3 linked regions of the Struthio camelus genome follow. The protein of the gene in region 1 interacts with the protein of each later gene in a pairwise test. Links are inferred from orthologs where the notes say so. Each region holds a gene or a part of one and is shown on either strand. Other genes may lie near its edges.

Region 1 (10,180 bases):
TTTTTTTTGGCCTGAAGTAAGCACTGACATGTTGATCATGAAGGCTGGCATCCTGCCCTTCTCTTTTCACTGGAGTAATACATTCATATTATGCAGTTTAATGACAAATCAGGCCAGGACAGTGAAGCCAACCACAGCGCTCGTTCTGGTCAGTTTGCCTTGAATGCTTACTAACACCGGGTCTATATTAGGAATTGTAATATTACTTCCAAAAAAAAAAAAAAGTATTGAAGTATTATGGAAGTGGGGAATTTATGTTAAAGATAAACCTGCATATGATGTATATAACCTGTTTGATTTGCTTGTGACATTAAAAGTAGGCCTGAAAACAAAGAGAGATCTGGTCTATTGTGAAAGAAACACAGGGTTTTTTAAAGCACGTGGGAACTCAGTTTTTAAAGACAGGAGATTTCTTTTTTTTTCCTGAGGTAAAGGGTATTGGCAAAAATACTAGTGAAATGGTAGGCAATGGAGAAAGGATTGGTAGAGAATTCGTTGTCGACCCGGCCTTGGTAAAACAAGGTGTTGGTTTGGTTCTGTTTTCTGAAAAAGGGAGCGTCTTGCCATTTTATTACGGGCCTTGCAATATGTGGTGTCGTTGTTAATAAAAATCCCCATGGGAGGAATCATCTGGCTACATGAGAATTGTGGGTGTCATTTAAAGTGTGTCTCTAGCGCTGGTCTTAGGGGAAGACAATGTGAAAATATGAGATGTAACAGCTCAGAAGCAAGCAAGCCAAAAGAAAGCAACGCAGCACTTATTCGTCTTAACACAATTCCCTTGTCATTTTGAAGCCTTACTCACAATTTTTGTGGACTTTTCTCAGGATTTTTGCAATGCTTGTGATTGGCCACCTTGCAAATTCACTCTCAAAATCCCTGCTAGAGGAACTAACTTTACAAATGGCATTCTTCATAGCGGACTTGAAAGAGCAGCCAGAAGCTGAGTGGACATAAATGGAAAAAAACCCTTCTCTCGTTCCCTGTCCACCGCTGAAGCCCATGGGCAGAAGTGTGTATAGGATGTTTTATTCTCCTGCTTGTACTGTGGATAATCAGAAGTCTCTGTTGGCAACAGTAAAATCGTATTTGACCGCCGAATTAACTTGAAAAAACAGTGCAAGGATGAAAAAGCTGTTGTAAAATAGGTGCTTTCCTTGTTTGTTTGCTTTGTTTCTGTCAGTTGTGCGCTCGGGATCATGCCAAACTTTTAAAACATGGCATGCGCCCTAACTCCAGGAAAATGCATGTGTCGCCTTGCAGGGCAGTGGGTTGCTGGCGGGGGCACCAGCTCGGCCCCCACATCTGTGCCAGTGGCATTGGCTGCACGGGCAGGCCTGCAGTTGCTGACTTAATTTTCCCGGTGTCGCTCACGAGCCTGCTGTCTGGCTTTTTAATAAGCAACTCCACTTGCAAGCATCAGCCTGCAAGCGATTCCAGGAGGAGGAACCCAGTTCTCCCGGACTGATTAGCCCAGTTGGAGAGAGCAGTTGTGCGAGGCTGACCGAGCTAAAACTGTCGTATCGTTCTGGCTTTTCCCGAGGTGCGGCGTATTTAGCGTGCAAGCGTACCTTTCCCCCTTTTGTTTCATTATTATTTACATTTTATAATGCTGCGAGCGTGCTGGTTGATGTGATCGCCATAAAAAATAGCATGCACTGATGATGCTCTAATTCAGAGCCGAAGGCTTCTCCCTTGTTCTGATAGAGCAGATTGCTAAACCCTGTTCACACGCCGAGATAAAAAGCCTTTATCCGGGTCCCCTGGGAGTAATCGCAGGGGAGCTTCGACTGGGGCTGTAACGAGGGAGCGTAGGAATTAGGGAGAAGCTGAACAGCTCGTAGTTTGTTGTCCTGAGCGATCACTAATAACATGATACAGATGGGGCTTTGACCAGACGCTGCTGCTATCGCTGTGTCCCCGGGCAAAAACCGGGACAGGGCCCGGCAGCTGCCCTGCCGGCAGCACGGGGGAGCTGGACCGCGCTCCGAGCTGCAGTTGCAGCGCTGTGTTCCCGTTTTTGGCTTTGTCTCGCCGCTGTTCCTTTTCCTTTAAAAGCGGCAAAAATAACGCACCAATCAAGGGCATTCTGAGGACAGTAAATTGTCTTAATTTGTGCTGCTTGTGCACAGACTGTGTGGAGAATTCAGCAAGAGCCTTTAAGTAAGTGCTCTCTTCCAAAAAGCCCCCAAAACTTGAACTCAGAAAGCCTCTGCACACGACATCAATATTCTCTAGGTATGGGTTCTTCACAATTTCTTTTTGTAAGATTTCTTTAACTCTGTCCTGCTACCGTCTGTAGGCAGATGTAAATAATGTAAAATTTTAAGATGCAGATTTTGATGATTAGATGTCTGTCATCCGCCTACTACCACAGACTGGGAAAAAAATGTGTCTTTTTATAAATCTGCACCCAAAGGTCAGGAAACTTGATTGGATTAATGAGGAAACCAGATCTCTGAAGGTCAAGTCCCATCCCTTTGAACATCTACTTACCAAACACTTGGGTCTCTTCTTACCAAATCCAGTCCAACCGCTCCCAAGTGCCATGGTCATAGCTAAGGAGACGGGTGTTTTTATGCTGCTGAGCAGACAGCACTGGATTTTAATTTGAGATGTGGCCACATCTGCCACAAAATCTCAATTAAAAAAAAAAAAAAGTCCCATTCTCATGTGGTGCTTTCTGTGTTTTCTGTGCGTTAACTGCAGAACTGCTTGTCCTGCGAAATTTCAGGCTTGCTTTCCGAGAGGTGCACGCATCTGACTTATCACCAGTATTTGGCAGGAATGCAGTGAAGATAGGAAGGGGAGGCAGTTGCTCGGTTCTGGGTACAAACACTGCTGGTATCTTGGTCGTGCGAGTGAGGTATTCCTACGGGACATCAAGTATTTTATTTAAATGGGGCCATAGTCCTAGCAAAGGGCTGCCACCTGTCCAGAAATGCTTTCCTATGGATGAGAAACTTCTTTTTGTGCAGAGTTTTGCCCTCTGTCTTTTTAAGAGCTTCATATTGGCATATATCACTGTAGCATTTAGGTGATTTCCATGTCACATTGGTAGCCACAGCGATGCTACCTGATGGACGTCATGATTTCTCTGGTACGTTTCCTTGCTTGGAGATTGGGAACCTGCTAGTGGCCTTTCTGAGCGTTGGTGGTAAAGTCCAAGGTGTGACACAAGTCAGTGGAAAGCGTTATTTTTAGGATAGAAAAGGGGTTTTTTGCCCGTGTTATGGTACTGACATGGCATATCATTGAGCTAGCAGTAGGCTGGAGAAGGCACACTGCTCTGCCCACCAGCTCTGAGTAGGGTTGTGCACCCAATGTACCATCACTAACACGTTCAGCTTAAAATCTCCCATGGTGGGGTTGGGGGGGGGGGTCCATAACCTCCCACGGCAGCCAGGGCCTCGATCTTAAAATAGCCAGGAAGATTTTTCCTATGCTCTAAAGCAAATTTTCTTCGCTGCTAATTAATTGGGTTGCTTCTGCTGCCCGCCGCTGAGAGTACATAGGACCACTGATTGCTGCCGCCGTCACTGTGGCAATCTCTCTCTGTAATCAGGTGCTCCCCAGCGCTGCCCGTGTCTCCATACCCAAGGCAGGGCTAACCCAAAGCTTGGGGGCCTGAACGCTGCTTTTGATAAGTATTTGCTGCAGCATTATCTGTCGATTGGAAAACTGTATTTATACGTACACATACGTGTATATGTATGCACACGCATTATGTATATTTTTAGAACAAATATATTCAGTAGAGTCTGGAAAACGTTAGGTGTAACCTCATGCACGATTATTGTGTGCGCGCACACGTGTATGCAGTGAGCAGACATCCCTGTCTGAGGGTTTCTAAGCAATAGTTTCTAACCGCGGCCAAGGCGTCTCTGCCCGCAGATGGGCAGCGACGGCTCTTCCTGCCACCAGGAGAGGCTGGTTGCAAGGGCTTCGTGACACGAACAGACAGCACTCTGGCTGCACGGAGCAGATCCTTCCCTCTAATTTTGTCCCCCGCACTCAAATAATTGGAATTTCTGTGCTGTATTTAGTTGTTAGGTCTGAGGAGGACGGTGTTGTCTGTTCTAATACGCTACAACATACAAAACGGCATTATTCTGACACCTCTTCCCTTCCTGCCATTAATCAAATGTTTGTTTATCACTTCAAAGGTGTGAAGCGCTCTGTAGGTGTGAGGTATTATTGATCTATTTACTCCGTGCTTTCCACGTGACTGGGATGTTGTGGCGAGGATTTTATTTTTGCTGTTGCAGGTGACAGCCTGCGTGTGTGTGTCAGCCCGAGCGACTGAGTCACAGCCCACCGCCCGGGGCTGGTAACACTTCCTCTTACCATAGGGAATGAGATAACAAGCGTTTCCCCGTAGGTGGAGGGGGACAGCACCTTGGCGAGGCTGAAGTTTCCCACAGAAGAGCTTACCTGCTGGCAGTTCGCATTTATTAAGAAAATACCGAGCGATGGTGACAGGGTAATCTAACTTTCTCTCTAACCCAAACCAGTGAAAAGTAAAATCCATCTCACCGCATCAGTTTTGTTTTCACTGCTGTTTAAATCTATCCTTTCCTTCTGGCAGAGCTCTGCACAGTCATTTAGTACCAGCTTTGGGGGTGGTGTGGTTGTTAGCTCAGTGGTGTATGACCCATTTTTTTCGTAATACCTGCACCTTTACAGCATACATCACACGTTCACTCCTGCGACCTAAATCATCGCCAGAGAAGCGTTGTGTCTGATTTCAGGCGTCCTGCGTAAAGTGCCGTGCCTTCGGAGCAGCTGGCGCTGCCTCGGGCTGCGGGTTGGCTGCTGGGAGAGGATGGGCCGCGCTGTCTAGCTGGCGATTAGTGAGCGAGTGCAGGTAAAAGCACGTTTTTCTGGAGCTGACACTTGGTCTGAATTATTTTGTTAAATTTTAATTGCAAGCTTACGGCACGTGTTTCCTGTTATGATTTCTGAAGAGTTCAGAAGAGGGAGTGTTGTAATGGATGCTTTACCCTCTATAATACTTGCGTTTTCAGAGGCGGCAAGATAATTAATGACGGCAGATTGTTAACTCTCCTTTCCCCCCCCCATCCCCAGATGTGGCTTCACCTGTACTTTTCTTTAGTCTGCTCTTAAGACAGGCATGTTTCTTTATTTCTCTTTTCATCAGTTAATTGGGTTCACTTTCTGCAGCGTTTCAGATGGTAATTAGGTTCATACTTGTGTTGCTTTGCAGAGTGCTTGGTGTAAACAGAAAGAATCAGGCACGGGAGACATAGATAAACTAGCGTTGTAGTAGGTGCGGGAGTTTTATGTTTAAAATTAAAAAGTAATTTGCAAAGCAAGTTGAGGTAAAGTGGATTTAAACATAATGAAATCATCCTTGACAGCAATTTGTTTCAAGTTCTTCTACTATTATGAGTGTAAAGGGATTTTTTTTTTTAATTGCCAGTTTCTGGGTAGAGTATTCAGCATAATTTCTCACAGGTAAGTGAAGCATTAACTCCTTATACATCACTAATTTAGGGAGCAGGGGGAGAAACCGAGAGTTAGGGAGATGCATCTCCACCGTTTCATCATTTGAAAATTCATCAGTGGTTAGCCAGCTTAGAGAAGAAGTCCACCGGATAACTGAGAGCAAATAATTAATTAAATGCGTGAAAATCCAACATGATACCTGACCCAGTAGATATGCCGCGTGTATGAATATCTGTGTCGTTGATGCTTAACAGGATCTGATGAAACTCCAAGTACAAATTGGAAAAAAGTAACAGCATTTAGCTAGTTTGCATCCCTTGTTCACATGAGCCATGAGTTCTGGGTTTTTTGCATTTATATACTTGCGCTGTAGGTGTTGGAAGTGTGGGTGGCCAAAAAAAAGCGGTGGTTACAATAAGATTTTCCATTTATTGCCCTTTGTGTACAACTAAAAATAAGATTCAAATGCTTCACAATTTGTAGAGCAAGCATAATCGTTCTGTTAGCTCTGATGACTGGCTTACATGCAGCTTCATCTCTATCTGGTAAGTCCTGTGCTGAATACTTGTAAATGTGTCTGTGTTGAGATGAAAGACAGAGTTTACTTGCAGTGTTGTCTAGCTATGTTAATTTATCAGCTTTTTCTTATCTAAGAAAAAAAAAGGAGTTAAGCTTAGTCCATAAGTAAGAAGTGGTGATGAAAGAAATTTGGAAACGGAGTTGTTCTGGTATCTGGAAGAAGCGGCTTTAGAGAGGACTCAAAGTTCTTTAAAACCAGCCCTCCAAAATCGCCCTTATGTAACTTGAACTGTTGATCCAGAACTTAATCTTTTGGCCAAAAAAAAAAAAAAAAAAGGAGCGGGGAGGAAATCTGTACAAATCTGCTGAGCATCAAGAAACAAAATTCTCAGTGTTAATTTTTGGCATGCAAAACCTTTTCAGTTTGGTTTTTAGGGTGCCAGTCTTGAAATATGCTGTCTTGGTGGCTTTTCCAGGTAGTCACACCGGTTAGGAATCTGCTAAATTAGTTGAAATATATTGAGCTGCTAAAACGGTTATGACCACATTAATTGGTATGTCTCCTGTGGCCAAGAGAAACATTAAAGAGAAGATGTTGTCAGCATATGCAGGGAAATTCATAACTGTATGGTCTAAGGTTTGGTGCTCTCCCTGCTTCACTCATTAAGTAGTTGTGGCATTTCCAGAGAACGAGCGTGGCTGTGCATTTCAAGCTTCTCGATTTGATGCAATTCTTGTAATGGATGAGTAGAGAGAAGGCATCTCTTCAAGAGCTGCAGAACCGAAGGTACAGACGCTGAAAACTTGTTTTCCGTTGTGCGTCAGCTTGTACTGCACGGCCTTCTTGTCACTCTGTGACCCTTCCAGGTTTTTCCAGGCGTTGTAGTGTGGCAGCAGGGTTCGTTTGTTTGACTGGAGCACGCGGCTAAATAAGACGATAGGTTTTCATTCTGAATAACTCCATGCGGCGCGGAGGATGTGGTATATGGGAGGCACGTAGAGGCACATGCAGTTGTTCCGTGGGAATATTGATGCTGGCTGTGGTGAGTTTTTTATTATGCAATAAGAAATGCCATTAAATTTCCTTAATGCAAACCTCTCCCTCTTCTTAGGAGGAGAACACTGTGAGCGCCGTTACTACCACCTTACTCTTACCGCCTCCTTTATGCCTTTTTGCTTAAATGCGTGTTTCTGTTTTAACATCTGTGCACATGCCTGAGACCAGCTGCTGATAAAAAGTATAAAAGGCAAGAGAGCTAATGCAGTAATCAAGGTTTTAAATATTTCAGGTGGGAATGGGCTAAACTTCAGAAATAATTAGCTTCCATGGTGGTGGTTTCTGCAGGGAATTGCCTTACATCTGTTATAATTATCTGCACGTCTCAATCCTTTAGGTGACCAGATGCTGACAGGCAGTGTAGACATTTTTTTCCTGTGGAATTTTCCCTTTTTGATACAGATGTAGATTTTTTTCCCCCTACTTTCTACTGCTGCGCCTGACGCAGATGAGTTCAAACGTGATTGCTTTGAAGATAACACCAGGAGAGTGTGTGTCATGTGGCAAGCACACTCATGCTCCTTTCACTGTTTCTACACTTTCCAATTGGATGAGACAGTATTTTCTTTTCCGGGGGTATCACCACACAGGCTATTTTTAGAGGTGGCGCACAGGGCACGTTGTACAACTATCGATAAACGCTGCAGTCGTCTTAAATTTTTTCCTTATATGGTGATAACATTTGTGAAGTGTTCACCCTTTCTTTAAGAGGTAGATGGATCTCTTTTTGATTGTTCTTAAGCACTTAAACAGCTGCTGCGTATACAGCGTATGTCTGTGTTTTCTGTACGCTGTTCGAAGTGAAACGTAGGCACCAGATTAGGATTTGTATAAGAGACCGAAGCAATGTGATTGAGGTTTGCAGCTGTAGAGCTCTAGTTCACCTGTTGGATTGCAGAGCGGACTGTCTGTCTGCTCCCTTGGGAAACCCTGAGCTTGGTTTTTAACTTGCCTTTCCTGCAGCACGCAGTCTGCAGTCAGACGTTTTTACAGTTGTCGTAAACTCTTTGTACGGCTCTTAGTTTCGGGCATGCCCAGCTAAAATCAAGGAGAAGCGGCTTCCAGCACATAAAGGCTGCCTTTGACCGGCCAGCTCGGCTATTGTGGCACCCTGCGATGTGCGGGAGCTCCTAGGGAAAAGCAGGAGCTGGGGAGGTAGCGGATGATGTTCAGCCCACGATGCCCTCCCCACGCGCTCACCGGGAATGGGGAATGCTTAGAAACTCAGCGCAGCCTTACAATGCCATCGGATCCTGACATAGCAGTTAATTGTTAGCCTATGCCGTTTATGTGCTGGAGGAGCAGAAATGGCCAGTCGTGGGCTCATTATTGCATTATTCGAATAATACAAAAACATTAGCAATGGAGATTTACTACAATGGTGTATTTTAAGTGCATCTCTGCTCTGCCAGTTTCGCTTCTAATGCACTCAGTTAAGGAATGCTTTGGAGGTTATTGCTAATGGATGAATCTTCCGGAAAATTGGAATTTTCAAATAAGATTGACATTTGGAGTGAGAAATACAAATCTAATGAGAGTATTTCAGCAGAGGTTTGTAATTAGGAATGAATGGAGTAAATTTGTACGCGCAGTCTGCAGAAGGGCACAATGGAAGGTGAAATTGCACACTCTGCAGTGAATGAGGGATGAAAGCCAATGTATCAGTGTCATGGCATGACAGTGTCGAGTATAAATGATACTGTCACTGAGTGCTGCAGAAGGTATCAAGGGAATTCCACTCCAGTAAATTGCATTACTTAGACAGACCTGAAGGCATTGTGCCTGAATGATTGGAGGGAAAAAAGGTTGTCAGCACAAAGCAGAAGATATTATAGAACAACTGGCTGCAGGCTTGGAAATCAGTGTTTTTCTATGTTTACCATGCAAAGCTCCTCAGCTGCTTTTTAAGTTTTTGGTTGGATTACAGATGTATTGATGACGCAACAGTATTTTTCCAGAAGTTGTTCAGAGCAGATACCGTCCTGCAGCATGGATTGAGCATGCACAGCCCCCAGTACTCAGGTAGGAACTGGGACTCCTCCAGACTTGGGTAAAAATCTAGTCACATGTACCTCAGGCAGTGATCCATTTCTTCATTTGGCTGAGGATTTGGTTATGGGATGATTTTAGCAGAGGTGTGTACGGAGGGGTGGGTTGCTACCCCCCATTCTCATTAGCGCTGCTTGGAGGTGATGCATTGCCAGCTGGGAAGCCTGATCTGGGGCTCTATGCCTCCAGCTGGATTGGGATGAGCCACACCAGATGGTGGGACACGAACGTTGTTCTCTCTGATCCCGTTTGAAGGCACTTCAGACAGCATGGCAAGGCTTGTGGTATGGCTCACTAGGAGCGTTACGTCATGGTGATGGTGCAGCAAAAGTCCAAAGACCTCATCCATTTCAGCACAGGTGCATACCTCCAGCTATTTTGCTCTTCATCCACCCTTTCTCAGGTAAAACCCACTGCTAATTCCACCTGTTTTCCTGCAACCGCAGCGATGATGCTGAGTGGAAGAGTTATTTCTCACTCTTTTCTCTGTAGTCACCTGTTGCATCTGTCCTCTCAGGGGCAGTACCTCAGAGGTTGGTGAGAGCTGCTGTTTGGGCTTACCTGCTTTTCTGTCTCTGACCTTACATGCATACAACGCCTTCTAGCTCCTGTCGTTTCATAGCTTCCTTGTAGGTGAGGCAGTTCAGCTCCCGCAGTTCTCCCAAACTGCCCCTTCTTGACAGGCCTCTTAAGATAACAGCAGCTTCTCCCCGAAGACGACATGTTTCATTTCTGCAGCATATGAAAAGCCCCACCTGCCTTGGGGCTTCTAATAACACTTCAGCAGGCTTTGTACTGCTTAAAAACATCTTTTTCCACTTGCCTACGCATGAAAACCATCACTGAATATGCATGCTGTAAATAGTGGTTTGGAAGCATGCTTGATTTCTCCTCTCCAAAACTCTTAGGAGCTTGTAACTTCTGATTCGCAGCATTCACAAAAGGTAGGATGATAGACATGCAGCACAAACAAAAGAGCAGTCATCAGGGTAGGTTTTTTCACCTGTAAATACTGCTTCAAGGTGTGGGAACGTTTGCTGGGTAATATGGCCAAACTGAAGCGCACTTCTTCTGGGAAGTTTGCGG
Region 2 (10,376 bases), on another chromosome or scaffold:
GAGGTCGGCCCCGACATCGAGGCCCGCCACATTGTGGTGTCCTGCGCAGCTGGCGTCACCATTAGCTCCATTGAGAAGGTGAGGTGCGACATGGGCCACCACGAGCTGCTGTGGGCCTGTGCGCTGCCACTCACAATGGGGCCTGCATCCTTGCAGAGGTTGCCATAACAGACACCAGGTACTGGGGAGGCATCCCCTGCAGGGCAGTACCACACTGGATCTGGCCTTGCACCCGTCCCACTCCTCCATCCCCCAGGAGTTGACGCAATGTCTGTTTCTGGGGTCGTTACTTGTGTTTCCCAGCAAGACTAAATCTATGCTGCAGCCAGCTGACTTCCTTGGGCCACCTTTCCCTGTCCTCATCACAATAAGCTAAAATAGTCTTTTTACCAATTCTTTTACTATGTGAAATGCTGTAGGATCTTCCCTCTCTCAACAGAGGTGGGTCATCTCACCTGAATTCCTGTAGACTTTGTGCTAAGTGTCTGCGGGAGCCGTATGTGGAGAGTTGTGAGTCAGGTGGGAGCTAGGTGTTGCAGGTATCGCTCCCAGTAGCAGCTCTGCCCAGCTCTCCGTTTGGTGGTGCTCCTGCAGGCGTCACGTTTAAAATTTGTCCGCTTTGGCTCAAAGTTGGGAAGCTGGGGTAGAGGAGTCTCCCTGTTCCCTCTGCTTGCATTGCCCTTGTCCCTTGGGAGTTCCTTCCTAAGCAGTCTGTTTGGTATGCCAAATATGTGTTAAAGCTCTTTTTTTTGTCTCTTCCTCCTTTCTTTCTATCTCCAATTATTTTCTACCCTAAGAAACTCTCTACCTTCTGCCCCACACCAAAAGTGATCAGGTGCATGACCAACACCCCTGTGATTGTCCGGGAAGGTGCTACAGTCTATGCCACTGGGACTCATGCAGATGTGGAGGATGGGAAGCTCTTGGAACAACTGATGGCCAGTGTAGGCTTCTGCACTGAAGTGGAAGAGGATCTGATAGATGCTGTAACGGGGCTCAGTGGCAGCGGCCCTGCATATGTATGTGCTGCTTCCTCAACTTACGACAATCATGGGGAGAGAAGTGGGCTTTGCATGCAGTGAAAGTCTGTGCAACTTCAGCTTGTGATTTTTTGTTTTTTCTAGTCACTTACATTTGCAACGGGACACATAATCCAGGCACCCAGTTTATAACAGCTTGGGTCAACAATGAGAGTCCGTTAACAGTCACTTGAGGCTGAAGTCCATAGCCAGTGTGCAGCGTCCACGTGTCCGTGTTGCAAAACCTGGGCCTGTTGTTAGTATGACCCAGAAACTCAATTTCTCTCGTTCCCCCCAGCTCAGCTGGAACAGGTGGGAGGGAAGCCTGGCATGGCACCCCTGCAGTAAAGGGGAGCAGTCTCACCTGAGAACTGGGTTGACTGGAGGGTGACTTTTTTTCAAGTTCTCCTAAGCAATAGGAGTTATACTGTGCTCCTAGAGCCTTGGCGTCTCTCTTTCCTAAGAACATTAGCCCTGGAGCAGAGACTAACTTTCAGCCATTTTTCTCTCTCTGTGATCTCAGGCGTTCACTGCCCTGGATGCTCTGGCAGATGGAGGAGTGAAAATGGGACTTCCTCGCAGGCTGGCTGTTCGGCTTGGAGCCCAGGCCTTGCTGGTCAGTAGCTCCTCTTCCAAACCACACTGAATCTGTGCCTGTGCCTGTTCAGTGCAGAGTGTTCTGTACGTAATTGTTTAAAATTATCTCAGTCCTTGTACTAAATCCACTTAAAAAATGTGTTTCATTGGAATGGACACAAGTCCCTGGTGAGGGAATGTAGGCAGTGTTCACAGATACCTGCTGGTGCTGATGGCGTTGTGGGAGCCTGGGCCAGGAGAACCATGACTTCCCTGCAGGCTTTTTCAGCTCGGAAGAGCTGGCAGCCTGCTAATGGCTGTGAGGCAGGAGACCGGTTTTGCCCACTGTGAGTATTTAGGTGTTGCTCTATGCAGTGGAGAACAGGAGTATTTGGCAGTAAGTTTCCTCAGTCAGAGCTTTTGGCAGCTGTTTTCTCTTCCTCACTACAGGGTGCTGCCAAAATGCTGTTGGAGTCTGAGCAGCATCCGGGTCAGCTGAAGGACAATGTCTGCTCACCTGGGGGAGCCACCATCCACGCCCTGCACTTTCTGGAGAGTGGCGGCTTTCGCTCACTCCTCATCAATGCCGTGGAAGCTTCATGCATCCGGACAAGGTGGGCACCAAGGAAGTCCTGAGGAGGCTACAAAACTTGTAGCTTCCTGAGGAGGCTACAAACCCACCTCGTGGGTCTCTCCCTTTTGCTGTATCTAACTCTCTCTTTCTCCCCGCTGCTTCACAGGGAGCTGCAGCATTTGGCAGACCAGGAGAAGATCTCTCCAGCAGCCATAAAGAAGACTTTGTTAGATAAGGTCAAGCTGGAATCTCCTTCTCTGTCTGTGGCATCTGCCAGCAAAGTCAGTCTGTTCACCAGTAAGAGCCCCAGCAGTAAGAAGAACTGACCAGGCTACCGTAATCTGGCTGTGCTGATAGTCAGTCTCCTATATGTCCTTTCTTCTTTGTTTAAGGAAAAACCTCTCGCTGTGGATGTTGGTGTTCCCCATACCTGGCTCTCAGCTTGCAGCAGCTGTGGGGCAGCATGAGGCTGTAGGAGAGGATCTATCTATCTATCAATCACCTCTAGCGGGATTGGTGAAAACTGCCCCTAGCGTTGCTGTTCTCTGTTGGGCAGGGGTGTGATAGCATCACCAGAGCTTTATCAAGGGCATCATTTGGCCAGAGGCCCTGGATACCCCCAGAGCTCAGGCAGTGTTTATTGTGTCCCATGCAGATGTGGTTTCTACTGGTATTTCTAAGAGGTTTCAGAATGCCTTTTGGTCTCAGTGGTTTGAACCAGGCTGGATCCCTCTTGCCTCAGCATGTGCTGTCAGAGCTTGTCTTCTGTCACTGTCTATATTAGCTAGAACAGATACTACTGCAGAAATGCAGTGCTCTGCGCTCCATTAGAGGCTAGGCTCTAATGTACCTCTCAAAAGGGATCAAAGTGCCTCTGCCCTGTTTCCCATCTGCCTTGATTTGACAGCCCAATGATGTGAACCCCTGGCCTTCAAGCACCCCAAGTGCTTGAACCGCACCGCATCTCTCTTCACTGGCTACTCCTTCTCCCTGCTGCACGTAGTTTGGGAACAATGACCTACTCTCACTGTCCTTCCTTTGCTGCCTAGCCTTCTTGGGTGTTTGGGCAGGTGGAGGGGTAGCACGTGCTCCCTCTTCCCTCTGTTTCTGGCACCTGTGAACTCCTCACAAGCAGAATCTGCTCCCATACACCCATGGGTATGCTTCAGTGGTCGCTGTGCTTCCTGATGCTCTCCTTGCTGCCCCAGGAGAAGTGCAGAGCGGAGGTCAGGGATACCCTCCCCCAGAGAAAGCCCTCTACTGCGCTGCTCCCTTAGGCTCAAGTGGGCTTTGTCTGGTTGGGTTTGGTACCCAGGTGCTGGGTTACCGCGTGGCAGCAGAACTCTCCTCGACTCCTTTCCTTGAATTGGGCCGTGTCGTCTTCTTGGGTTGTGGTGTTGGCACTCGCTGCCAGGGGCTACTGTGCTTCAGCTCCTGCAGTTTAGATATGCTGCAGTGGGCTGGTTCTCCCTTCCAGACAATAGTGCCCTGGGCTGGGATGATGAATTCTGGCACAGCAGCCCTCAGTATCCCTTTGTGTTGGCACAGTTAGGTTTCTTTGGCATTTTCTAGCCCATTTCTGATTATTATTTTTTCTTCCTGTTCTTTTGACGACATCACGCTGCTAATGGCTAAAAGAGGAAACACCTAGAAACTAGTTGGGGATGCTTCATGCAGTTGCATTCCTAGTCCTTTAGTATACAAGACTGAAGGGAAACACGGAATCCTCTGGTCTGGCTTGTGGCTCAAATGTTGTTCTTTCTCACATAGCTTATCTTGCATGAGATCCAGGAAGAGAATGGTTCAGTCCTTGCCTGACACAAAAGAGGTTAAGGGAGTACTCGTGAGTGCCTAGTGCCTGTGCAGCAACAAGGAGCTGTTTGGTGAAGCGTGTCCAGATGACTGTACCCTTGCAGAGGAGGAAAACCCTTGATGTTCCCGTCTGGAGAATTTCTCTCCACCGTAACTCAAATGTGTGAGCAAGAAACAGCAGAGAAAAATGGGGTCTGGAAGCAGTGTTTTCTGGTGCCCATTGAACTCCAGGACTTCTGAGGGGAGAAATCTGGCCAGGCTTGGGGTAGCAGCAGGCTGAGAGGGAAGCCCTGCTTGACCCTTCTCAGCAACTGGGGGGATTACAGCCCATCATGTAGAAAGATGGTTAATCAGGCACGGTCTTGGGAGCCATCTCAAGAACAGCAGCAAATACAAGGTTTCATCTGCTGCTTTATGTGACTTTTTTATAGTAAATACCCTTGGGTGGCTTCCTTGCCTCTACTCTTCTCTCAGACCCTGAGTGCTATCCTGAGCCAGAAAACAGTACAAAGCATTCAAACTGCCCCTATCGCTTTTAGCTGGCTGCAGTGGAAGCAGCAGACTAGAGGGGATGGAGGGGGTTTGGGTGGATAAATGTCATACTATATTCTACCTTGGGATACACTGGGGTAGTGCTGGTAAAAGGAAGACATTTAAGCTGGGCTTATTTTCTCTCCTGAGGAATCCTGGGTATCTTGGTGATACAGGAAAAGCATTTAGGTAACAGTGCAGAGGCTGCCAAAGGTGCTAATAATAGAAAAGCTTCTTCAGTGTTAGGCTTTCGGCTGGTAGCAGGGTATGACCCTTTAGGCCTTGGAGATGGTGACTCCTCTTCCCTCTTTATATAATAAACTGCTTCTCTGACTGAGGCCTGTGGCTAGTCCCAGCTCTTTGGACTGGGTGGGTCTCTTGGTTGTGGCTGGTGCCAGCAGATCCTCGCTGTTCCCAGGGAGTGTGCTTGGGCTGTGCTGCTCTCCTGTCTTCGAGGCTCGTTTGGCCGTGGGACTGGGAAGGTATCAGTTTCTCCTTGTCATTTACAGTTCCTGAGCAACAACATAAGGGTTATTTTAGGGCCCTATGCTACCAGTATTCAGAGGTTTAAAGAAAATTGAAGGAAAAAAGCCTTCTGGCTGAAATCAGGCTGAGGATTTTTGAGTGTTAATTTCTGTCATACCGTCCTGAAACTGTAGGCTTCCTAGCAGTTCTGCTACTGCAGACAAGAGTCCATGGGAAGCAAGTTGGTGCCACATGTTCCTCTCCTTCCCTGCTCAAAAGCTGTGAACACCCTGCACAGATCTGCCAAGCTGTAAGTCAGATGGTTGAAATACTGTCTGATTAAAAAGTGAATGGGGCATTGCACAAAGTGTTTCCACACAGCTGATAATGTGGAACACGATAAAAGGTAGCACAATGAGCTTGTGCCCCTCCAGAGGGATATATGGGCTGCCCCAGTGTGCCCTAGAAGAGGCATTGCTGTGCAAGAACTAGAGCTGAGCTTGCTCGATGCTTGCAGACCTGTAACTTAGCTGGTCAGCACAGAAGAGAAAAAGCCCATCAAAGCATATAAAATGACTCTGTGCGGCTCTAGTTTGTGTGTCCCCTGCATGCATGGCAGAGGACAGTGGAGCTGCTGTTGAATGTCCAGGGCCCAGATTTTTTCCTTATAAGGATCATGCTTTCTCCATGATGTCTTAATTCATGTGTGCCTGGTTTCACTGATGTCCTTCCTCCGCTGTGCTCATCTGGTGTGCTCTGGTGGGCAGAGGCCTGCTTTGCTTGTCGTGCAGCAGCAAAGAGGATAGGTACAAATATTGCTGTGTTATGGACACAGAGCACAGAGTTATAGCAGGATAGATGGGGACACATGGGTCAAGCCAGGCATGATGGGGGGGAGAGCACCATTTCACAGCCCGAGAGCCAGCCCTGCTCGTACACTTTTTCAGCAGAAACTTGCTTCAGCATTGTCACTAATGCCTCGGAGAGCAGCTGCAAAGCCCTCTTCCTTAAGTCAGCATTTTCAGGGGAGACCTTGCTGCTCCCTGCAGTTTCAGCAGCTCTGAGAAACTGTAGATGCAGCAAAGATGAGCTGCTGAGACGGAGCAAGGAGCGTGGAAGCGCGGGAGCGGCTGGCTGAGCAGGAGCAGGGGCGATGCTCCCCTCCGCACTGGGGCAAAGTTAAAACGCTGGACGTGGGGTCTGTGCCAGCCCCTGCGGAGGGCTTCGCGTGTGTGATTGCAGCGGTGGCCCAGGGGAGCGGGCCGGGAGCGGGGCGGCGGCGCCGCAGGAGCCGGGCGGTGCCCGGCCGCGCCAGGCCCCGCTCCGGGTTGGTTTATCCGGGCAGGCGGCTGCAGCGCTGCTCTGGCTCCCGGAGGAGGCGGCGGCGGCGGCGGCCGGGCCGGGCCCGTCCCCGCGGCTCGGGGGCGGCGGCGCTACCGGGCCCGGAGCCAGCCGGCCGCCCCCCCTCCCCTCCCCTCCCCTTTAAGGCGCGGCACGCCCCGCCCCCTTCCTTATCGCTGTCGCCTCCGACAGTAATGCGCGTCCCCCTTAAGGCTCGGGGCGGCTGCACCGGCCGCTTCATGAATGGAGCCACGTGACCCAAACATCACGTGACGCGTCCGTGAGCAGCGGCGGCGGCGGCGGCTGGCGGCGTCCCGGTCCCTCCCAGCGCCCGGTCCCGGCCCGGCCCGGCCCCGGCGGCACCGCGAGGAGGTGAGCGCGGCGGGCGCGGCCCCAGCCCCGGCCCCGCAGCGGGAGCGGCCCGGCCCCGGGCGGGGCGCGGCGGGGCGGGGCGGGGCGGCGGGCCGGTCCCCGGGGCCGGACCGGGCGGGGGCGGGGCCGCCGCCGCCTCGCGATGGGGGGCGATGGGGGGTGCCGGGGCCGCCGCCGCCCCGGGCTCGCGGCCCGCCCGGCCCCCGCCGCGGCGCCGCGCAACAGGTGCGGGGCCGACGGGCCCGGGAGCCGCCCCGGGACCGGGACCGGCCCGGCACCGCCCCGAGCGAGGGCGGCCCCCGCCCCGCCCCGGCGCCCGGGGGTGTCGGCGCCCCCCGGCCGCTGCCCCGGCTCCTCCCGGCTGCGGGCGCCCTCCCCGGCGGCGCCGCAGCTCCGCTCGGTGCGACCGAGCCCCGGGGGCCGGGGCAGCCTCGGCTGCGAGGCCTTGGCCGGGGCCGGGGGCTGGAGCCGGGGCTGGAGCCGGGGCTGGAGCCGGGGCCGGGGCGCAGCGCGTCCTCCCGCTCGCTCGGGCCAAGGCGCCCGGCAGGCTGCCGGACCTGGCCGGCGCGGAGGGTTTTTGCTTCGTGCCCCGTTTCTCCCTGCTCTAGGAGGGCAGGACCCCGGTTTGGTGTGTTTAGGGGGAGGCTCTTGCCTCTCTGACCGCCCAGAATTAGCGATGTTTCAATATACAGCTGCATGCTGGGGGGAGGACACCGCTGGGACCGGGGAGGGGGTCTCTGAGAGCAGGCTGCTCCCGTCGTCCCCGCAAGCGCAGGTAAAACGGGGTGCGCGGGCAGATTCCTTGACTGAATAATTACGGTGGAAGCGTTCTGGATGCGAGCTCACCTCGGACTCCCAAGGGAAGAGCGGGGATGCACGGGAGGCAGACTGTGCGTGTAGCGAGGGAAAACAACTGATCTGCTTGGATTCCTGGGACAATTGTGTCAACTAACTCAAAACCCGCGCGGGCAGAGAGAACTTTCCTGCGGCGTGCCGCGGAGCGTCTCGTAGCGCCCGGCGCCTTCCCCTGCCTCCGCATCCCGATAGATGGGCCTCCCTCTCCGGGCTGGCCTGTGCTGGAACGAGTGACGTCACCGTGTTTACACTGGGCTCATGGCACCGCTCTGTGAATCAGGAATGTGGAGAATGGGGCCTGCGTCGAATCATGCGCGCGGCTGTCAGCTCTGTCGTGCTGCCTCTGGGCTGAGGAGAGAATTGGCCGTGCTTGTGCTGAGTTCAGGCCTTTCCAGCTCTGGGGAAATGTGTTGAGGCTGCGTTTTCTTCATTGCAGTCGTTGCATTTGGCACTTCTCAGTGTGATCCTTCTTCAGGAAGCTATCGAAAGCTGAGAATCAGCAGTCTGGAGAGTTAGACCCAGCTTGGTCTCTGTCTTGACGCCAGTTCTCTGGGTGTCCTCTGTGCGAGCTGCCAAATGGTTCTGTCTCTGATCCTTTGAGCAAGGCCAGAAAATAGCCAGCAACTTGTGTCTAGGTCGTTCTTCCCGTGCTACCGACGGACTAGTGTGTTGGTTTGTCTCCATCCCTGACCCCTTTGGAAAGGGGACTGGAGGCGAGGAGAGGTGAAATCACCCAGATGCTGTCAGCCAGGGTCTTGTTACAGCTTTGAGGCTGTTCTGGGAGGCGTGTTGGATGGGAACGAGGCCTGAAAAAGTTGGATTCCTCTAGCTGGAAATGCCTGACTCTTAAAATACAAAAAAAGGTTAAATTACTGGGACCAGTCTCTTCTCCTGTCTGCGGATCAGTCTGCTGCCTCCATCCTGACTGGCTTCTTGCAGTGCATTGGATGTCTCCCAGCTACTGATTCCTCTTGGTTCCCGCTTGCCCTGACTCTCCTGACAGCAGCGGTCGGATCTGCGAGCACTTTGGGTGAGGGTCGGGAGGGTGCAGTGGGCTTCGTTAGAAGGCCTCTTTGTGGCAGCCTCGTTTGTTCAGCCAACCCAATCACAGGCTTTTGTCATGTAAAAAATTTGCTTTATCAGGTTGTAGCTGTATGATGTGGATAGGAGAAGTGTTTCTAGATGGCTCCTGAGATGCGTTGCATAGACCTCTGGATTCCCCGGTAAAGGGTTTTGCTGAGCCGGTTTGGCCCTAAATTTGAACATGCAGTTTCCTTCCCCCATGTTAGCCTGTTCCTTGGGATTTTCTTCTGTGGGTTCCTGTAGCTTTAACAGCAGTGACAGTGCCACAGGGCCTTTGTGGGTCCAGGCTGTGCGAGCACCGCTGCTGAATCTCCGCAGCCTGCCCGGCGGAGTTCCCTTCCCCGGGGCCGGTCTGCTGCTGCAGCGCCCGTGGCCTTGGTTGTTTGTTTTCAGCTCCGCTGTGATGAAGGAAGTTTGAGTGCTTGCCAGGCAGCTGAGTGCTGGTTAAGGCCACAAGGCAAACAAACTTCTCCGTTCCCACTGACCGTGCCTGGCCTCTGCTCCTTATGCTCAGCAGAGGACGCTGCAGGGAGGTGCTGCTGGGGTGGCGTTATTGGTCTCCCCAGTTGATCCCTTTCTTCTGCCCCTCTTCTCAGCAGCCATGTTGTTTGCCAAGGAGGAGCAGAGGAGAGAGGTATGAGCAAAAGGGAAAAATTGATTTTTATGAAGCAATTGCGTATGTGCTGCCCGTCCTGTGTTAGCCTGCTTCCTTGCAGCTAGCTTCCCTGGCTGACAAAGTGACCTTTTTACACCAGCACTGTCAGGTTGTAGCAGGCATCTCATTGGAAGGAACATTGTCCTCTGGGTATAAATAGCCTGCCTCCCGGCAGGCTCCAAGCTTTGGGAGCATCTGAATTTTACCTGTCTACTAGGTGTCTTGGAGAGCACTAACCCCTTTCACCTCTAATGGACAGTGGTAGATGCATTGCAGAGAGCCTGAGCCACAGCTGCTAAAGAGCATAAATTTGCATTTGCGGATTTGTGCATGTGGTTCTTGGCAATAGCCCTGTGCCAGTGCCTCTTACGTTTAGCAAACAAAATAGCGGCTATGTGGGAGAATGCGTTTTTGTTGTCCGTTGGGCACTGAGGAGACTGAAAGTATGAAGGTGTTTGTGGACTGATGTGTACAAGAATCCTCGCATTGCCTAAGGAAGCTTGCAGTTAGTTCCTGGTTGTTTGAGTTGCAGTGATGTCTGTTGAATAATATTTGAGAGGATTCAATTAATTGGGCAATATAGTAACATCTTGACCTAAAGCCTGAGGGGAGGAGGTATCTAGGGACAGAAGCGTGGGCTTGGGTGTGATTCACTCTAAAAACAGACCTGGGAATTGCTCTCCTATCAGTTCTGAAGTGCTGTCTTCCCTGGCAGTGAAGGGGTCTGCTCTCCTCTACTTTTGGCCTCCCTTAATCTTTGTTTTCTTATGCAGTAAAGCTTGGCTCTGAAGATAAGGGAGGGGACAAAGTGATTCTGTGTCCTGGCATTGCCGGAGACTGAGAGGGGCTTTCTCATAGAAAAGATCTGACTGGGAGAGGTGAGGGCTGCTGAGGTATCACCCGAATTTGCGATGGGAATCCAGCGTGCCTAATGCTTGCTTGTGCTGCAGGATCAGGTTGTCCTTCCGTTCCCCCCGAAACGGTTGGGTGCAGAGCTTCAACCTTACCCCGAGCGTGCTGGCGTTCTTGGGAAGCAGGAGAAGTTTGGATGGGAGCGAGTGCAGGAGGGGCGTCTCCTGTCCTGTAGGATGCT
Region 3 (9,874 bases), about 64 Mb from region 1:
ATATTGAATAAGGTGGAGAACATCATAAAGATAGGCCATTGCTTTTATTAACCAAACCTGTTTAGAGAAAAAACAGCAGCCAGAATACGATCTCTAAGGATGACAGTTGACAAAGGGTTACTAGCGGTGGATGTGTGGGAGAAAGGCATCCCAGCCTGCGGCCGGTGCTCTTCTGCGCCTGCATTCCATGCCACGATGGCGGGCTGCAGCCTACTTCGACACTGCTGAACGCAAAACCACGGCTCATAGATTCTACCAAAGAAATTACAGTTCAGGCTGTCTTTTTTCCATACTGATGTTTTCCTGAGATTCAGAAGACTATAGCATTTCGACATGGAGAAGACCTGTGTGGTCAAGTCCAGCCCTCTTTAAGGAAAGACCTGCGCTGTAAGTAGGCAGTTCTTCAAATCTCCCTTGTTAATGGGTGCCTTTGCCCTCACTGCAAGGTGATCAAGGAGAGCTCTCATCTTGGCAGGCAGCTGGTGAGTGCATCAGGCCTTGGTATGGTCACAAAGTTCACGGAGCAGTGCAATAGTGGACAGATCTTTTCATGATCCTTCAACACTTCACTTAAGTGTTTCATTTCATCTGTTAGCTTTCCAATTTCTCTCTTCAGGGAGGTATTTTCTTGCTCAAGAGATTCATATTCCTGGAAAGAGAAAAAAAAGGAGACTCCTCATAGTCAAAACATTCCCTTCAGTGCTTCCACCTTGCACATATTCATGTCACCCTAGAAAAAGTGTTGTTTCTGCTTATTACAGATGTGCAAAATGCTCAGGAAAGAGCCTTGAGTAAACCTGGGTGCTTTGAACAGGGCGAGTGATTTACGATCCGTGCCTGACGGAGCTGCGACTCCTCCTGCGGCCCCGAAGACGTGGGGGTGCCCCAGCCTGGGCGGGCACTCAGCAGCCCAGGGCTGGGAGCCCGGGTGGCCATGCCCTGGGGTGGCCAGAGCAGCCTCTGCCAGCCCTGGCCGCTTCTGCAGGCAGAGCGGTGAAAATGAAAGCACCAAGTGCCGGTAGGTGCCGGGGAAACCCCAGTGCTCAGCATTGCTGGTGAGGAAAAGGCAGCCCCCACCCCAGGTAGCGCGGGAAAGCAGCAGCTTAGGCGGGCGCTGGCTGAGAAGCGCACCTAGCACAAGGTGCCCTGGCACCAGCTGCTCTCCTCCACCCCTGCCGTGGCTTGTAGCCACCTGCTTGAATGCCTGGGAAGCAAAGAGCAGGCTGCGGAGGTGAGCGTTGAGCCAGCTTGCCCCCGAACCGGCTTTGTCTCCAGAAATCCTGACCGCTGCCTCGATTATCCATGGCTGGGGCTGCTTTTGTGCCGAGGCCTCTCTGGCAATGAATAAGCTGCTCTTAACTGCAGAGGAGTTTTCAGATGCTCTGCAGCAGACATCTGTGACGGAGGCGAGAATCGCATTTCACATTTCTGTGATAACAGCAAGTTGCAAGCGTCCCTGCTGCCAAGACTGCTCGTCCCAAAGAGAAGAGAGCTAAAGGTTCAGGTCCAGCCCACAGAAAACCTGCAGGTGTCCGCACCTCGCTGCCGGCCTAGGCTCAGCGCTCACCCACTCAGTCTCACCTCCCTGGGAAAGCTTCAGAGCAAACATCAAAGCCTGCACATGCTTTAAAAGACCTGCTTACCAGAAAACAGGGAAAGTCTCTCACACAGGGCTCCTCCAGCTTTCTTTAAGACTGCCTCTGCTTCCCTTCCCTTCTGTAAGGCACCCTGCCTTTCCGTAGCGGTGTCAGTTTAAATCGGTTCCAAAACTGTGGTGTGAGAAAGAAATACCCGGCTGAAAAGGCTTCTTTGGAACTCCAAAAGCCCCAAGCGCGAGAGCTCAGCTACTTTGTGCACTGGTGTCCTCTCATAGTAACAGTGGGTGTTTCCAATACGCATGCAAGTATCTGATTCTTCCAGAAACTTGTAACGCTTCTCAATATATCACGATGCGGGGTAGGCTTCTTGTGTGCCCTGTGCAAAGGCTGGAGAACAGGAATTGCCTTTCTCTGTGTGTGGATGCGGTCCCACGCAACAGGGCTTTTGTTGTAGCCGGGGCTCTCAGGGCTACCTCGGGGTAAATGCTAGTGCTGCTGCTACGGCTGCTTCCTGCTGTGGAAGGATCTGCCTACAGGAGGCAGTCTCAGAAGTTCTGGTTTTGTTCTTTTCCCAAATCTCCTCTGAGTCAGTGCCTGAGAAAGCCAGTTGCCAGGGTACTTCTGGAAAGGGGCAACCTCTGGCTTTCGTGGAATCATTGACACATGTCTCATCTCCAGCCTTTCTGATGCTCCCTCTGCACTGTTACAGAGGATCTTACTCACGCTGCCAATCTGTATTAGCAGGCAGGCAGGTTTTCCCAAGGTGCGAGGAGATTTTGTTGAATAAGTATCCGGTCTTGGTACAGCAGTTTTGTACTCTCTTCCCTGAAGATGGGACAGATTAACTGGAGAGTACTGCTTACTTTAGGTCCACGGGGTTTCAGGCAACAAGAGGTAAGCAGAGTCAGGGATGCTCAGCTTTGCTGGAGTTTGGCTACATTCATGCTTAGGAGGATCACGTATGTTTTATTCTGTGCTTGCAAGCGGTGGTAGGTGGTGAAAGGGTGTGAGGAAGGCAAAGGGATCCTTCCACCTTGTGGGAGAGAAGAGGCTGTGCTGAAAGTCCAGAGCTGCACGACTGGCACAGCAGCAGCCGTAGCAGCAGCACTAGCATTTACCCCGAGGTAGCCCTGAGAGCCCCGGCTACAACAAAAGCCCTGTTGCGTGGGACCGCATCCACACACAGAGAAAGGCAATTCCTGTTCTCCAGCCTTTGCACAGGGCACACAAGAAGCCTACCCCGCATCGTGATATATTGAGAAGCGTTACAAGTTTCTGGAAGAATCAGATACTTGCATGCGTATTGGAAACACCCACTGTTACTATGAGAGGACACCAGTGCACAAAGTAGCTGAGCTCTCGCGCTTGGGGCTTTTGGAGTTCCAAAGAAGCCTTTTCAGCCGGGTATTTCTTTCTCACACCACAGTTTTGGAACCGATTTAAACTGACACCGCTACGGAAAGGCATGGTGCCTCCTCCCCTGTGAGGTGTTACGCGTTCACGCTCTGACAGAGCATACCCACGATGCTTAACACTAACCCAGAAAACATGGCTCAGCTTTAGCCCAGAGGAGTCCTGCGTCCAGTTCAGCGGGCGGCTGTGGGAACGCTTGCGATGGCGCAAGAGGGACGGCAAGACAAGGGCAAGGCCACGTCCCTCCATGGCAGTGCCACCGGCGGCAGAGCGGCACCGTTACTTGTCCAACCTGAACACCCTGTGGCAGAGACTTCTCGACCAGTGATACGCCTGTCTCTGCTTCACACCCACACCTCTTTGAGCCAGATTAGCATGACGACAGGCCCACGCCTGCCCGAGAAGTTCCATTTATCGTAAAGTCCCGCACATGGCACCCAAGCTGTGCCTGCAAAACATCAAGTACCCATTCACCTCGTGAAGTTTATCCGCTTTCTGAGTTTGCTTCTTCCGGCTCCTCTGGGCAGCAACTCGATTTTTTTCTCTCCTCCTTACCTTCCTGTCATCTTCTTCATGACTCTGGAAGACATAAGCCACCGTGCTGGTTTTTACGGTGCACGCGGAGACTCTTGAGGTCAGGCAAATAACTGATGTCAGGAACAAGCGGGTCCTCCCAACTTCACAGCACAGCCAGCTCTTACACAACGCCGGCCACCCACGGATCGCAGGGTGCCCCGCAAGGGCGATGCGCCCCCTGTCCCCCTTGCACAGGTGGCAACCGAGGCGCGGGGATGCTGGCGGCGCAGCCGGGGCCCCTCCGCGGGGGCGCTCCGGCAGAGGACCGAAACTCGCTCCCCTGCACGGGCAGCGCCTTGCACCTGCTTCGCCCCCGGGCGGGCGCAGGGAGCCGAGCCGGGCCCGCTCCCCGCTGCGCCCCCGGCTGTCTCCCGGCAGAGCAAAGGCCGCTCGCGGAGGGGCAGCAAACTGCCCAGCGCGCAGCCCGCTCTCCTACCTGCCGCAGCCCCCGCGGGTCCCCACGGCGGCTCCGAGCACCCCCCCGCCGGCAGCAGCTCCCCGCGCCGCCTCCCGCCCCGACGCGGCTCCGCCGCCGCCGAGCGGGCAGCTGCGCGGGAGCCCCCGGCGGCGGCGCCTCCTCGGCCGCGGCTGCCCCCTCTCCGGGCGGCTTCGGCCGCGGCGCCCGAGGGCGCCCCGGCGGGGCGGCCGGCCGTGACTCAGCCCCATGTGCCCGCCGCGGCGGCGGCGCTCCGCGCCGGCCCCCCTGCCCTACCTGCTGGGCGCCCTCGGCCGAGGCGCTCCGCTGCAGCACGCTGCCCGCCGCCGGGACGGCGCACGACATCCCGGGAGGTGCCGAGCCGCCCCGGGCCGCTCAGCGCCGCCGGGCTCCCCCGGCCCCGCGGAGAGGCGGGGAGGGGAGGGCCGGGCCGGGCCGGGCCGGGCCGGGCCGGGCAGGGCAGGGCAGGGCACGCTCCGCCCCGGGCCGCCCCGGCACCTGGCGCCCGCACGCCGCTCCGCTTGCCCGGCCGCGGGGGTGGAGCCGCCGCCGCCGCCCCGGGAGCCCCGCCGCCGCCTGCATGGAAATCACGTGGCGCCCGCGGCTGCCCCGGGCCGGCCGGGCCTGAGCCCCCTGCGCCGGGCAGCGCCGCCGGCGAGGGGGCCTCGGGTGCCCTGAGCAGCCCCGGCTGGGCAGCCCGTGTCCCCCCGCGCTGCCGGGCAGGGGCTGCCCGAACCCCCCCCCCCCCCGGAGAGCCCCGGCCCGGGGGCTTGCTGGGCTCGGCGCCCCTCCGGGCAGCCCGACTCTTGCTTTCGCCTTTAAAAATAACCGCCGAAGAGTTTCCCTTCTCCCCAGCTTTCCTCCCCGCGGCCGGGCAGGGAGGCCAGCGCTGCTGCCGCCGCCGGGCCGGTCCCGCCGCCCCCTCCCCTGGCGCCCCGGCGGGAGCCGGCGCCGGCAGACGCGCCCGTCCCGTCCCGTCCCGTCCCGTCCCGTCGCGTCGCGGCCGCGGGCGGGGGCGGGGGCACCGCCGCCCGCCGATAGCGGCAGCGGCTGCGGAGGAGCCCCGCGGAGAAGCGGCGGCCGCCGGCAGAGCCCGACTCACCCCGGCGCGCTCAGGGCCGCGGCTGTGCTGATACAGCGACATGGGCTTCCAAAAGCGGCGTAGACTTCAGGGAGAGGACAGCAAGACAAGCCGATATTCCTCGGCGTAAGGACAAGCTATCGGTGTTGGAATAAAACCGTTTTCACTTTCGCTACTGGTCCTGTTCCCTTAAATAATAAGGAAATGCCGCACGCTTCTTGTAAAGGCAAAGCAAGACAGCGCCTGCTGAACACACAGCTTCACATACAGCTCTCCCTGTTCGGTAGCGTTTCAACAACAGTATGCTTCTTTGATCCTTCCAAACCTTCCAACTTTATCCTTCCTTCCAAGTAATGTTTCTTTTATCCTTCCAAACACTTTTCCTACACTTCAATTGAACTGCATCTTCTCCCTCAGCTCTGAAGCTCTGAATGCATGTTTGCAGATAGATGCGTAGCAACATCCTTTCGGCGCTGTGGATATATTTGTATACCTAACCTGCGCTCCTCAATTCTCATGCAAAAGCACGTCCACACGAGGGAAAGTGCCCCAAAACTGCAGTGCAGTCAGTCACAAAGCCCCAGGTATCTTAAATTAATAAGTTGGATACTTCCCTATTTTTCTGCTTTCCCCAGAAGTTTGAGTCATACAACTTAGATAAACATCAGGTTACAAAGTTTGCCAACTGCGTTAATATAGACTATTCTTTTAGGAAGATCTGGCCAACAGTTCGTGCTGAACGTGAGAACCACACTGCCTGGGAGTCCGAGAGTCAAAGTAAAGTCTCTGCTCTACCGCAGGTTTCCTGGTTGACTCTGGGACCATCAGCTAGATCAGTATTACTGAAAGACCTGAATGGGACTTCCCCACCGGGAAGCCCTTCTCCCCAGCTGTTCTGCCTCGCAGCAGCTTGAGTCTCCATTTTCCAGGCCACCTACAGCTTCGCTTTGGCACTTTCTCAGAGCTTCTCAACCCCCAAGGACTGAGTGCCTATGAGCCTTCCCCACCCACATGACCCCTGGACCCACAAACCACACGGGCTCCTTCGGCTTTCTTGCCAAAGTGTTGCAACCCAGTCTGTGTCCTCAGACTGTGCTGGGTCAACCCAGCACCTCACAGGATGTTCCCAGCCCCGGTTTCTTTAAAAGCAGTCCTGCAGCTCCTTCTCCCTTTCCGCTTCATACAACATACAGACGCAAGGGCTCACCAAGGAAGCAGAGGGTACGGGTTCAGTGCCGCTGCCCAGCTGAAGGGCAGCAAACCAGCATCTCCTGGAGGTTAGCCGCACCCATTAGGCAGTGAGCAATTATAGGGCGAATTGCTCTCAACCTCTCCTTTTGAAACAGTCCAATTTTGCATTAAACCACTAATCACAGAGTTAAAGGAATAATAAATGCGGGCATGGGTGGACAATTAGCTGGGACAGTTGCTTAGGAAGAGAGCGCTAGGTTCCTTGTCTTCTTTATAGCTTAAGCACATCTGGAGTGAAGCACAGGACTAGAACTCAGTATCTGCATAAGCTCAGAGAACAGGCTGCAAAGAAAACCTATGAACTGAGGAAAAAAAAGCCCCCTTCTCGCAGACGGACTTTGATCTGATTCCACATGAAGCTTTCATGCTTTTTCAGAAGCAATACTGCTATTAACAGCAACTGCACAACTAAATGATCTAACTGAACCACGTCCTGACCAGTTTACGAAGGACTTGTTAGTGCTGTGTAGCTACCCTACTGAGTAACTCCCGGCAACAGCCAAACCCTTCCAAATACTGTAGCGTGAGGAGGTTTGCAGGATCCCACAAATACAGGACAAGCCACAGAAAAGTCCCCCTGAGCCAGAGTGTGGTCCGCTCTTGTTCAAAGTGACAAAGGAAATGAAAAGTCAAAATTTGCTTATGGGAACAAGTTTCTGCTTAGTATTAAAGTTATCTCTGGTACATCTGAAGAAATGCCTACACAGTAATTCCAAGTAACACAGCAGTAAGGGCAGAGCATTTCTATACAGGAGAGAAAAAACAAGTCCAGAAAGCACACTAGTCAGCTGAGTTTACATTTTATAATGGCAGTTTATCAGTGATTTTTGTCTGCAATGAAGCAACCTACACACATTTAGACTAGAGTTGCTGAATGCAGTTTAACATAATACGGCTTTTCTGAAGAACGTCCCATATCAGAACTGGGTTTCAGAACACCACGTGCCCAAACTTTCAAACTGCCGTTGGTGTCCATGGGAAGATTTCTGGAACAGGAGATCCCCTGCATGCTGCGTGCAATAACCTCTGTTCAGAAAACCACACGCAGTAAAAGAGTGTGCGCATACCGCTCCGATTTGTAAATTTGTTATGGGTAGGGACGGCTCACCACTCTAGTGACAAGCACAGCGCTGACAGTACTTACCAGCAAACAGGCAGACGTTCCATCTCACCTAAAGAAAGCTAAGAAATTCAAAACCTGCTTGCAAACGTTCCCAAGCATCCATCACTATTGAGTTGTCTTACAAAAGTCAAAGGCTATATTAAGAAAAACTACCAGACATTTCTTGATGCAACACCAATTCGCCTCAAGTTAAAAATAAGAAGTTTGAACGTTGTGACATTTCAGTAGAAGCCCGATTAGACGCTTGTCTTGCACAACGTCGCAGATTTCTATGAAAAGTTAACTGAAGGACACAAGGCTGTCGGAATGGGAAAATGTGAAATATTTTATATTTTATTTCTGACAGTGGGAAAAATATCTCCCAGACATTGCTTGTTGCAAGTATCTCTTGATGTAGAAATTTTTAACAAATATTTGAAAAGTAGCTGAATACTCAGCCAGTCAGCCACAAGAAGGGTTGAGCTTAGCTCATCACCCGACTTTCATTTAAAGAGAGGGCCTCTGATCCCTTCCATTGCCCCTTGGCCAAAAGTGGCCCCCCCCGAGATTTGTAAACTCCTAGTTTAAATGCTGCACTTGCGATCTTCATCGATTTGTTTTCTTTATCTTTATGCCATGTATTTGGCCAATGTTTCCAGATGTTTTTTTTTTCCATCCAGCTGTGATTGAAATGAGGGACACAGAACAAGGCACAACTGCCCTAGCTCAGGCTACCAGGCATCTGTTCTCACTTCTTTCAAATCCCATGCAGCCTGACTGTCCCGCAGTCTCCTAGCTAAGTGTTAATATGCATTGTAGGATAAATTTATTAATTCACTTATAGGTCTTAAATCCACAGTGTTCTCCCTTATTTCTTAAGACATTTGTCTCATATTGGCCTTTTCAGATGGAACCTCTTCAAAGAAACATGCCTATTCCTTATAAATCCTAGCCCTTTTTTGGAACCTGCCTATCATTATTCAGAGAGAATGTCAGGTTATCTTTCTATTAACACAGAAAATGCTCAAATACCACGATGATAGACATATAAAATCGTGCAGTGCTCAGCTCAGTATAGAAACATTCAAATTGAAGAATATATGCGGATCTTAACGAAGAAAGTGATGGTTATGATTTTCAATCCAGCAAGGAGCATTCATACTCAAAGAAGCTAGAACAGCAATCCACTGTGTGAAAAACAGTCCCGGTCCCACGTTCCACAGCTCTGCAGTTCCAGCCCCTCACACATCCTGTCCTCTCTTACATTGGAGCCTTTGTAGCCCTGAGATTAATAACAGTTGCGAGTTCAAAGGCACTAAAAGGAACTACTTCAGTTACTCAAGCCTGAATTTAACACAGATGTCTTCTGAAGTGCTAGTACACTAGCTGTTCAGTTACCACCTATGCCAGGATTAGAACAGACAATATGATCTGAAACTTTGATCTTTCTTAATTGATTTAATTTGCTTTGTATAAAAACATAAGTTCATATATACAAAAGCGATCTGAAACAAATATTTACATGTGATTAAATATACAAAATCTCAGTACAGATGCTCAGCTTTTCAAATCTAATGATAGTAAAATTTGTCACACATTTTCTTGAAAAGTTTCAGTCTCGTAAATATTAAGTTGGACCACCTTCTTACTTCAGTACATTTCATTAAAAAAGCTTCTCAAAAAACCTCAAATTGCTGTCTGAGTAAACACACATTAGACATGAGTATATACTGCAAGCATATGCAATCATAAGCTAGAAAAAGTTATGAACGGTTAAGGCATGCTGCTGAATTTAGTACTACTGTGCAATTGTTTAGGTACAAATGTGTAAAAAAAAAAAAGGGTAGGATAGCTCAACTTAATACTATTTACTGTTACTCTACACTGATTTTAAAAGTTTAGTCAAATATCACAAATGCATACATGAACCAAGTCAATATCCTGTAATGCATATTGTCCAGGAAACCCCCAAGACGGCATACTTGGATTACATGAAACGAAAATATCTGATGAGATGTGTATGGCCCACCCTTGTTCAGAATAGCATATATGTATGTATGTAAATATATACAATTATAAAAACTCCAAGTTTAAACAAACATGACTATAAATAAGTCCAGCTGACCTAAATTCAGGAAAGGTCTAATAGCAGGGACCAATTTTACACTTACATGTGGATTTTCTAAAACTGTAACAGCACACTAAAATAGTGTTTTTAATATGCTCCAGCGTGAAATTCTTTTTTATTCACTTACTAAAGAAAATAGTCACCCAAATGAGTATAGATGAAGGTGTATTCTGAGAACTAGATACTCTCCAACCTCTTTAGACACATGCTTAATGTAAATGAGCAGTCAGTGGGCTACAAAAAGACTGCCCACATACATGAAGCATGTGCAGAACTCTTTGAAGCATCA

The links.
Region 2: the proteins of BACH2 (region 1) and MAFG interact in binary tests that used the Homo sapiens proteins (3 or more experiments, as listed by UniProt). The link is inferred for Struthio camelus from reciprocal best matches to the Homo sapiens genes BACH2 and MAFG.
Region 3: the proteins of BACH2 (region 1) and BATF3 interact in binary tests that used the Homo sapiens proteins (3 or more experiments, as listed by UniProt). The link is inferred for Struthio camelus from reciprocal best matches to the Homo sapiens genes BACH2 and BATF3.

The regions. Positions count from the first base shown.
Region 1 is NC_090944.1:50,518,141-50,528,320, reverse strand, and holds the start of BACH2 (transcription regulator protein BACH2), read left to right. Parts: upstream 1-5,917; 5' UTR 5,918-5,993; coding exon 5,994-6,014; intron 6,015-6,709; exon of another isoform or gene 6,710-6,775; intron 6,776-7,004; exon of another isoform or gene 7,005-7,019; coding exon of another isoform or gene 7,020-7,031; intron 7,032-10,180. UniProt on the Homo sapiens protein: Transcriptional regulator that acts as a repressor or activator. Binds to Maf recognition elements (MARE). Plays an important role in coordinating transcription activation and repression by MAFK.
Region 2 is NC_090960.1:367,788-378,163, forward strand, and holds the start of MAFG (transcription factor MafG), read left to right. Parts: upstream 1-6,511; 5' UTR 6,512-6,690; intron 6,691-7,407; exon of another isoform or gene 7,408-7,465; intron 7,466-7,502; exon of another isoform or gene 7,503-8,575; intron 8,576-10,376. Other genes in the region: PYCR1 (pyrroline-5-carboxylate reductase 1, mitochondrial), read left to right, coding at 1-78, 798-1,019, 1,543-1,635, 2,046-2,209, 2,336-2,495. UniProt on the Homo sapiens protein: Since they lack a putative transactivation domain, the small Mafs behave as transcriptional repressors when they dimerize among themselves.
Region 3 is NC_090944.1:114,272,821-114,282,694, forward strand, and holds BATF3 (basic leucine zipper transcriptional factor ATF-like 3), read right to left. Parts: upstream 4,451-9,874; 5' UTR 4,369-4,450; coding exon 4,300-4,368; intron 3,591-4,299; coding exon 3,486-3,590; intron 650-3,485; coding exon 464-649; 3' UTR 26-463; downstream 1-25. UniProt on the Homo sapiens protein: AP-1 family transcription factor that controls the differentiation of CD8(+) thymic conventional dendritic cells in the immune system.